Caenorhabditis elegans: one gene and its partner. The protein of the gene in region 1 interacts with the protein of each later gene in a pairwise test. Each region holds a gene or a part of one and is shown on either strand. Other genes may lie near its edges. The genes, in order: madf-2 and fbxa-196.

The links.
Region 2: the proteins of madf-2 (region 1) and fbxa-196 interact in a two-hybrid assay, tested with the Caenorhabditis elegans proteins (one large-scale study listed by BioGRID).

Annotation. Positions count from the first base shown.
Region 1 is NC_003279.8:11,275,830-11,282,162, forward strand, and holds madf-2 (MADF domain-containing protein), read right to left. Parts: upstream 4,190-6,333; 5' UTR 4,186-4,189; coding exon 4,075-4,185; intron 3,256-4,074; coding exon 2,969-3,255; intron 1,950-2,968; coding exon 1,670-1,949; intron 1,164-1,669; coding exon 1,048-1,163; intron 855-1,047; coding exon 776-854; 3' UTR 617-775; downstream 1-616. Other genes in the region: F36D1.9 (MADF domain-containing protein), read right to left, coding at 391-501.
Region 2 is NC_003283.11:6,447,090-6,451,000, forward strand, and holds fbxa-196 (F-box domain-containing protein), read left to right. Parts: upstream 1-1,566; 5' UTR 1,567-1,618; coding exon 1,619-1,689; intron 1,690-1,810; coding exon 1,811-2,017; intron 2,018-2,062; coding exon 2,063-2,149; intron 2,150-2,194; coding exon 2,195-2,837; intron 2,838-2,881; coding exon 2,882-3,091; 3' UTR 3,092-3,128; downstream 3,129-3,911. Other genes in the region: T05H4.3 (U2A'/phosphoprotein 32 family A C-terminal domain-containing protein), read left to right, coding at 1-128, 186-377, 446-467; acl-8 (Phospholipid/glycerol acyltransferase domain-containing protein), read left to right, coding at 3,809-3,911.

The DNA of each region.
Region 1 (6,333 bases):
TCAGCGTGTTTAGTTTACCCTATCTGTGATTTTTCAGAATTCTAGTGCAAAAATCCGTAAAATTCAGTGTTTCGGTATAGTGTTTGCCAAAATCGGACCTACAGTAACCCAAAAATTTAAAAATTGTAATTGTTGCAATTTGAACTAAAAATTTGAAATCAGCGTATCTTGTTTACCCTATCCGTGATTTTTTAGAGTTCTAGTGCAAAAACCCGTGAAATTCAGGGTTCCGGCGGTGTTTGCACGAAATCGGGCCTACAGTAACCCGGAAATCTCCAAAAACCTGCTAGAGCTCTCAAAATTGCGGCCTAGAGGTAAAATACAGCGCTGAATTCAAAAATTTTAATGATTTTCGCCAAAAATTTCAAATTTCAGCTAAAACTAGCCTACCATCTCATTATCACCGAAATCTTTCTTAGCTCTCACAGTCCATAGAGGTCGGGATTTTGATGTCAACTCGACAAGCGTGGCTTCAGCGCTTTCCGTCCATTTTGTAGGCATTTTGGCTGAAAATTTGCTGAAAATTTGCTTAAACTAGAGAAAAATTGAAGAAAATCAAGAAATTTCACCGTTTTGAACAGAATTCTGGAAAAAAACTTTAAAAAATTAGAAAAAAAAACAATTAAAAATATTTTTTGCAAGTTATCAATTAACAATAATTATAGGTAATATCACAAAAAATTATCAAATTTTTTTTTTCATTTGAAATTCGTCATCAAAATGGCTCGAAATCTTGGCATTTGTCGGAGGAAAATTGTGCAAACAAATCGATAATTTATTCGTCTAGGAACAGAGCATCGTAAAGCCGGCGTTGAACTCGCAGAGCATTCATCCGACCTTGTTCATTGGCTATTCTGAAACAGAAAAAAATTATTAGCCAAAGCGGGGGGTCGAACTTTGGTGCTGTGAGTGGAAGTTGAGCTTCTACCCAGTTGAGCCACTTGCCCACTTGAATTTTTTTCGAGTTTTTCAAAATTTTAAAAACTTTTTCGACTCAGAATTTTACGCTAAAAACGATTTTTCATGTGAAATTCTGGAAAAACAAACCTCCGCAAATTCGCGGCAACCATTGCTCCAAAATGATCAAATTCGTCTTGATGGGCGACTGGCGGAGTGGTAATAACTTGCATCGGCTGAATATTGGACACCTGGCGGCGGCATGACTAAAATTTCAAAGTTTTTGAAAGAAATTTATAAATTTAGGCAAAATACTCGGGGTTACTGTAGATCAAAAAGTGTGCAATCGAATTTTTTTGTAGTTTTGAGGAATATCTCAGTAAAATCAATAGGATTTTTGAATTCAGCATCAAAAATTAGTCCTGGGGCTCAGTTTTGAGAGCTCTAGCAGTTTTTTTAAATTTTTGGTGGGTTACTGTAGCTCCGAAAGTGTGCAAACACCGAATTTCACGGATTTTTGCACAAAAACTCTGAAAAATTACAGGTATGGTGAACAAAAAACGCTGTTTTCGAATTTTTGACTTAAAATTTTTCTAAAAAAAATAGGGACCTAAAAAATTTAGTTGTTTTCTTTTTTCTGGGTTACTGTAGCTAGAAAAGTGTGTGCAAACGATATTTTGCACTAAAAACTTGAATTCCGAGTAATTTAATGACGCCAAATTCAAATTTTTTATCGAAAACTACTCCCGACTTCTCACTTCCAAAATATTACCTTCTTCCTGCCCGGCTGCTCATCCTCATCTTCCAGCTCCTCTTCCAACCCACTTGACGACCCATTTGGGCTTCTAGTCGGACTATAGTGAACGCCACGTTTTAAAGACGTGGATGACGTCACGAATGTTGATGATGACGTCATTTTTGGTTCATTGGAGCACGTAGCAATCTGTGAGGAGTCAATCATCGACTGTTGTGATAATTGCGGTGGAGGTTGATTATTGAACATTTGGAACATTTTCTCCTCAGTTGATGTGGGCTCATAGGAGATTTGTGCTCTGAAAAGTTTAGATTTAAAGAAAAATTGGTGGCCTAGAAATTGGAAAACTTCGGCCGTGAATTTTTATGAAAGTTTTTTTTAGTTTTTAAACCACTCAAAAATGTTGATTCTCCGCCGAGGTATAGCTCAATAAAGTTGCTGGCCTAGTTTTGGAATTCTAGGCCATATGTACCTGAAAACTAGGCTACCGTGGTATTTTTATTTCAATTTTTGAAAAAAAATTGAGAAAAAAGAAAAAAAAAATTTTTCAAATTTTTTCAAACTCTTGTAACTTGTTCAATTTTTGCCCGTTTTTGCAAATTTTTATTACAAAATTAAGCTAATTGTTTAAATTTACAACATTTTAAAAGTTAGCCAAAAAAAAAGTCTTCCGAATTCTGAAAAAAATTGAATTTTTTTTTTGTTTTTTGAAAAAAAAAATTATTTTGGATTTTTGACTTTTTTTTTCAAACCCTTGTAACTTTCTCAATTTTCGTTTTTTTTCGGAGTTTTTTTGTCACAATGACTCAAATTTTCTGAGTTTTAACGTTTTTTTTTACAATTTGACGGTTGGGTCCCCCCACGAAAAGGAGTACTGTAGTTTTCGTGTCGGGAGCCAAAATAGTCCAAACCTAGTCATGATTTTACGTAAAAAAAAAAGCTCCCGATAAACTGATTACGAATTTTATTGTTTTAAAATGTAAAACTGAAATTTCCATGAATTTTTAAGACTTTGGGTCCTACCACGAAAATGAAAGAGTACTGTAGTTTTCGCGGCGGGACCCAAAAAAGTCTAAACCTAGCCATGATTATACTTGAATGAAAGCTCTCGGTGAACTGATTACAAATTTTATTCTCTAGAAATTAAAAATTGAAAAATCATAAAGTTTTGAGACTTTGGGTCACGCCACGAAAAGGAATACTGTAGTTTTCGTGGCGGGACCCAAAATAGTCAAAACTTAGTCATGATTATACTTAAATGAAAGCTCTTGTTAATCTCTATTCAAATTTTTGCGTAAAATCCAAAAAAGCACAAACCTCTGCCCACACGACGTGGAATTCGGGGCCAACTCATAGGTGTGCTCACACGTGTCGCCGAGCCTTTTCGCCTCCTTCTCATCTAGAAAAGTGAGCATTCTATAAAATTTCCAAGTGGGCTCTTTCATCGCGTCTTCCATATATTTTCCCTCGTGAACCCATCGGAGCTTCCGTACAAATGTGTCTTTTAGATTTTTCCACTGAGATCTGACGTCTTCACACGTGAATTTTATGGGCATTTGAAACATTGAATTGAGCTCTGACGTCACTTCACGGAGGCAGGAGGTCTGGAAACGGAGAAAATCGATAATTTATTGATTTTTTAAGATTTTTTACTTTATTTTTTTGAAAATTCTGCAATTTTCTTAAATTTTAACATTTTCAAAAAAGTTTTTATTTTTTATTTTTTTTGAATTTAAATATTTTAAAATTTGCCAAAATATAACTTATAATTTTATTGAATTTTGGAAAACTTTTTAAATTCTACAAAAAAATCTGGCTAAATTTTTTTTCAAACTCCTTAGCTTTTCAAGTTTTAAACAATGTTTGGCAATTTTTTTGTCAAAAAAGGGAAATTTTTGAAATTTTACAATTTGAAAGAGTTTGAGATTAGAATATCACCAAAATTATGAAAAAAAAATATTTTTTTTTTTGGAAACTGTTTTTTTAAATTTTTTAAATATTTTGCAAACCCGTAACTTTTTCTATTTTCAACAATTTTTGGCATTTCTTTTTTCAAAAAAAGGCCAATTTTTAGCAGTTTCAATATTAAATAAAATTTCAGATCACAATCTTGTAAAAGTTTTGAGAGAAATATATTTTTTTGGAAACAAATTTTTTTAAACCCCGTAAGCCTCATTTTCAACAATTTTTGGCAATTTTTTTTTGTCAAAAAAGACTAATTTTTAGAAATTTAAAAATTATATAAAATATATAATATCATAGGATAACTTTTTCTAAAGTGTTTTATTTTAACTCTGCAAAAAATTTGTGTTTTCTACTAAACTTTAAAATTGTTCAATCCTCTGTAAGTTCCTCAATTTCCAACATTTATCAAAGATTTTTCTACCAAAATGACCCAAATTTCCTGAACATCAACCACATACCTTCAAAGTTCTATAATTACTTTCTCCAAAATAATTCTTATCCCAAATGACTGGCCGGTTCCGAATGGCATTGATGAGGCACTGACGGGATGGATCCGTCCATTGTGCCATTTTTCTGAAAAAATTAGGTTTTTTTTTGTTGGAAATAGGTAATGGAAATATGATAATAAAAAAAATAGGAAAAAGAAAAAAATTAATAATTAAAAAAATTCGAACATTTTTGAAAAGATTTTTTTTTGGAAATTAATTTCCCTCGAATTTTTTATAATTTGCTAAAACTTTCAAATCAGAAGAACTGATATTTTCTTACTAAATTTAGATTTTTATAGAAAGTTTTCAATAAAAATCTGGTAGAAATTGTGATAAAATGCACAAAAAGTCCGAGTTTCTGGTCGTAAAAATTTGAATTATAGATAATTAAAAAATTAATTTTTGGAAAAAATTTTTGGGAAAAAAATTTGAAAACATTTTTTTTTTGGAAAAATTTAATTTTCTTCTAAAATTCAAAATTTGTATAGGCAATTAATTTTCAGATAATTCAAAAAAATCAAATTTTAATGTTTTATTCTAGAAAAAAATTACCCAAAATTTAGTCAAAATATCCAGAAAAAACCGCAGTTCCGCTAAAAAAATTTTTTGCAAAAAAATCCGGTTTTTCCGCTAAAAATTTTTGCACAAAAAAAACCTATTTCTCGCCAAAGGAATCTTTGAAAAAACCAAATTTCCTAGTCGTAAAAATCCCGAATTTCTCATTAAAATCAACAAAAACTCTCGAAAATTTCGATAAAAACGCCTAAAAACGTGGCAAACACAGGTGGTGGCAAAGAGATGTGCGACCGCGACGCGTCGCTGTCGCGCGTCGCGTTTCTCTGCGTCTCGGCCGTCAGGCACACTGTCTCAGTGTGTGTCTGCCGCGACAGCGACTTGACTGGGGGGACTCTCCGTGTTCGGTGTGCTCTCTCGCGGGGGGGGGGGGGTACCCCGTTCGGGTTAAGGAGGGAGGGAACCGCCCGTGTTTTTCACTTTATGTACATTATGTATTTCATCTTTGATGATTATTCCTCAAGTGTCAGACGGCCCGAAGAAGCTAGCCGGGGGCCGGGAGTGGGTTACGGTAACGTAATTTTTTGGAAAATGTAGGAAAATGTAAGACAATGTGTACCAAACCCCAAAAAATTTTTTTTGGTCATTGGAATTTCCTGAGAAAGCAAAAAGAAAAAAAACAATATGAGAATTTGACATTGAAAATTGCTCACCAAAAAATTTTTTTTTGGAAGGTAGGCTAGGGTTACTATACAAGAAACCTACGATTACAGAAAAAAGTAAAATTCACAAAAAAAACCTATAATTATTAATTTTTGTCACTGGAAACACCCAAAATTGCTCAAAAAAATCCAAAAGAAGGCGATAGGCCTGGGTAACGTTACCAGAAGCCTAGAAATACGGAAAAAAATCTGTAAAATGAAAAAATCTTGTGAATTTATTAATTTCGATCACTGGAATATCATGAAAAAAGCAAAAATTTGGAAAAAATCAGGAATTTGACAAAATTGCTCGCCAAAAATTTATGGTTAAGTTAAAATTGCCAAGAAATGCAGTGGAATTTGACACAGAATATTTTCCAAAATTTTTCCCAGAAAATTTGAATTCCCGCCAAAATTTTTCTCACAAAATTTGAATTCCCGCCAAATTTTTTCTCACATAATTTGAATTCCCGCCAAAATTTTCTCAAAAAATTTGAATTCCCGCCAAAATTTTCTCAAAAAATTTGAATTCCCGCCAACATTTTCTCAGAAATTTAGAATTCCCTCCAAAATTTTTCTCAGAAAATTTGAATTCCCGCCAAATTTTTTCTCACATAATTTGAATTCCCGCCAAAATTTTCTCAAAAAATTTGAATTCCCGCCAAAATTTTCTCAAAAAATTTGAATTCCCGCCAACATTTTCTCAGAAATTTAGAATTCCCTCCAAAATTTTTCTCAGAAAATTTGAATTCCCGCCAAAATTTTTCTCACAAAATTTGAATTCCCGCCAAATTTTTTCTCACATAATTTGAATTCCCGCCAAAATTTTCTCAAAAAATTTGAATTCCCGCCAAAATTTTCTCAAAAAATTTGAATTCCCGCCAACATTTTCTCAGAAATTTAGAATTCCCTCCAAAATTTTTCTCAGAAAATTTGAATTCCCGCCAAATTTTTTCTCAGAAAATTTGAATTCCCGCCAAATTTTTTATCACAAAATTTGAATTCCCGCCAAATT
Region 2 (3,911 bases), on another chromosome or scaffold:
GATTTTATCAAAGCACAGGTTCCATCTGTTAGAAAACTAGATGACGAGATTATGAGCAATGAAATTGAAATTACGAAACGAAGATTGTCTCGAGCAAATGATTTGATCTCGATGAGCAGAAGAAGCAGGTACTTACAATTAGGAATATCTGATATTATGACTCTTTTTACACTACACAATTTCAGTATGGTGACCTCGTCGATGCTATCTTGGTTCGAGAGAGAAGAGGGTGAAACTCTGGAAAACGTGAAAAGGGCTTCAAGTTTTCTAGAACCAAGTGCAGCTGAAACCCCCATGAGACCACGACGGCTTGAACCTCTTCCCGGAAGACGTAAAACTAATAGTGAAAGCAATGGATTAATGTTGTTAGGTACAAAGTAAGTGATTTTATATATTAGTTGAGAGATTATGAAATGTTTCTAAATTCGTTTTTGTTCATTTTCAGAGCTGTGCAACATCGCAAGTAAAAGGCCCAATTATGTGGAGAGTCTGTCGAATATATTTTTTTCTAAACTATTATTATCATTTTTCAACTAAATATAAATACTATCTGAATAAGTCTCATGATAGGTATTCAAAAGTTAGTAGTGCCTACCTTACAATAAGAGTAACTACGGTAGTTGTCTGAGTCTATTTTGGTCAGTGTTCTTCAAAATGTAGAATTTTGGAAACATCATTTGAAATTTCGATTTGATCTTACAATCAGTTCAATATAATACCACTTTTGGGGTTTTCACAGGAATTCTGCAGACAGTTTTATTGGGAACTAGTTCAGAGCAGAGGTGGGCGGATATTTTTTCGGATATTTTCTAATAATGAATTTATCAATAAGTATTGATGTAGTTATTCTGGAAAAAATGTATCCGAACAAAAGAGTAACTATTAAGAAACATTTTAATATGATAAAACCTAGAAAAATTCTACAAGTTTTCTGTATAAACGATATGCAAGTCCATTATCCGATATCCGTAATATCCGTAATATCCGATATCCGATGTTGCTCGGCTAATAAGTTTTAAGGTCTCGGTAAGGAAAACTTGTAGAATTTTTCTAGGTTTTATCATATTAAAATGTTGCTTAATAGTTACTCTTTGGTTCGGATACATTTCTTCCAGAATAACTACATCAATACTAATTGATAAATTCATTATTAGAAAATATCCGAAAAAATATCCGCCCACCTCTGGTTCAGAGTAAAAATCCATTGTTAACCATAGGAAATGCACTGGATTCTATACTGAATTTTCAGATGAAAATTTTCAGACTCACCGTGTGTTTAGCAGGAATGATTTACAGATTCTAAAAGCCCAATTTGTCAGAAGATATAACATGTTCAACTTATTTCTTATCATACCACACGGTTACATAATTCCCTAGTAGGCTATAAGGTAATGCAGGTTTCACCCCACTTTATTTATTTCGGCATTATCACTTTTTTTTTCAATAAATATCACTTTTTAATTTCACGTTTTTAAAAAAATAGTGAAATAATTAAAACATTTTAGAAAGCCAAATTTTAAGTGAGCGTGAAACGAAAAAAAAAACCGCCCATGAAATTTCAAATTTATTTATTTCTTGATACTTCGCCAGCTCTACGAAGTTTTTCCAAATCGTCAAAATGTCCGATTCACCAAGAAGCGACGAAGAGGATCTCAGTGAAGGTTCGGACAGCTCAGTATCACTGCATCAGTAAATTTTTCACTATATTATGCTACGTGGATCTCTTTTATTGAATTGTAATTTCAAACAACTGCCAACGTAGCAAAAACTAAACTGTATGCTGTTATGAAAAGTTTTATTCAAATTTTAGAATCGATCCCAAAATTCAATGTATCGTCACGGACCCACGTGCAGTGCGAATCTTGATTCTACATCAACATCTTCAAGGCATTCCAGTTTTCAATGCATATAAAGCAATGAACAAGGTATTTGGAGATCACTTTATGGAATACCGACACTTTGAATATTGGTATATGGGACTTGCAAATGGGAGTTTAACCGTAGACTCTTATGATAGGTTTGTGTTTTTTCAATGAACATAATATCACAGTACCTTTTATAGATTTCATACATCAGAGAGAAAAGAGTTCACCGACTTTTCAACCTACTTCCAAGCAATGATTCTGGATAAACTGAATCCAATTGATCGGTAAGAATTGATTGTATTTTTGTTTTGTAAATACAAAATCTTCAGGTTTGCTGCACGCGCAGTTTGCCGTGGTTTTAAGTCTATGATCGATTATCAACATTCTAACCTGAAAACGATGACTATGTATCTAGAAGAGAAAAGCGTTGGATTGAAGACAAACGGTGGCTACGTGACCTATGAATTGGAGGATGAGGACTGTCAAGTGAACTATAAGAAACGGAAAATGATTGTTAAGGATAAGAAACCATTGGAGGTTGCTATGAAGGATGTATCAAGACTTTTGAAGATCAGAGGATTAGATATGGATTACTTCGCAATTATTATGACGGAAATTATGGAAGAAGAGTTCGTTTCATTTGATGCTATTAACGACGTTCTTAAATCAATTGGAATCCTGTCGGCAAAATCAGTATTGCTCGATTGGTTTCACACTTTTGAAATTACTGTACTTCTGAAATACTTTAAGCCTGGAATCCTGGAGGACTTAACAATTAAATGTCTTGAATCCGATGAAGAGTTCACAGGAAATCTGGTGTACCTGGAACAGTGGAAAAAGGCAAAGAATCTGAAATTGTCTAAAGTCCCAAATTTTCCAATTATCGTCGAACATCTCGATAACTTCAAATCTTTGAACTTCGACTTCCATGGGGAACCTTTCTCAAGAGATGATATCATGAAGCTTCGAGATGTGAGTTTCCTTTCATATATCAATTTTCCCAAATAAACTTTCAGGAGGTTCTTCTAAAATCAACCAAGTTTGAATACTTTTCTTGTAAAAATGTGAAATTCAACACAAAAATGTTCGTGAAAGTTTTTGATGCTCGCTCAACTCTATTTTGTTCGTCTGGCTCAATTGTTTATGAATCGTCCAATGGAATATTCGATATTGCTTATCATCCGAATGGGTTCAACATTAAGAAGAAAATTGACTCGCAAGTTTGAACTCGTGAATATTAGGATAATAAATTATTTATCATTTATCAAACTATTTCAGTGTCGAAATATACCACATTTTCAAAAATAATGGAATTGAATTAAAAATATAATCATACCGTATCCATTCAAAACTTCCTGAGCGTTGCGAGACCTGTCCACAAAAGAACACCTCCCTCCAAATTTGGCTACTGTCTTGCTTCATTTTTCATACTGTTTTTTTGTTTCTTTTTCGTTCTTTTTCAGCCTTGGTCTGTTTTTTCCTTTTCACCTCCTTATTCTCTCTTTTTCATACACAAATAGCAAGAGAATAAGATGATAGAAGAGACGCAGAGTGCGAAAGGACGGAGCCTCGTTGCCCGCCGAACACTGAGGTTTATTGACTTTTCTACTGCTTTTCGAGCTGCTTTCGCGGAAAAAAAGATTGAGCTTTCTTTCGAGAGCTTTCGACTGTGCTTCTCGACTAAAAATATCGAAATACAACTTTTAGTTTGTCTTGCTAGCCTATCTTTTTGAAAATAATTTGTCAGGAAGCTGAATTGGGAAGAAAACGGAATAGTTAAAAATTTTACCTGTGATTTGTGCGATTATACGCATTTTTAACCATGTGTCTCGATAATTTCAATTATAACATTTTCCTCTGTCTCTTTCTATTTCGTTATCTTTTTTTTCTCATTTACAGTTGTTTCTTATTACAGAATAATCTCTCTCCAACAGAATGACGATATGAAAGTAATAAAAGGCGTCACGTTCATCGTTCTCGTCTTCTTCTCCTCACTTCTCGGAACTGTTTTTCTTCTTTTTCCGCTTATTCCTCTCGCATGGTTTG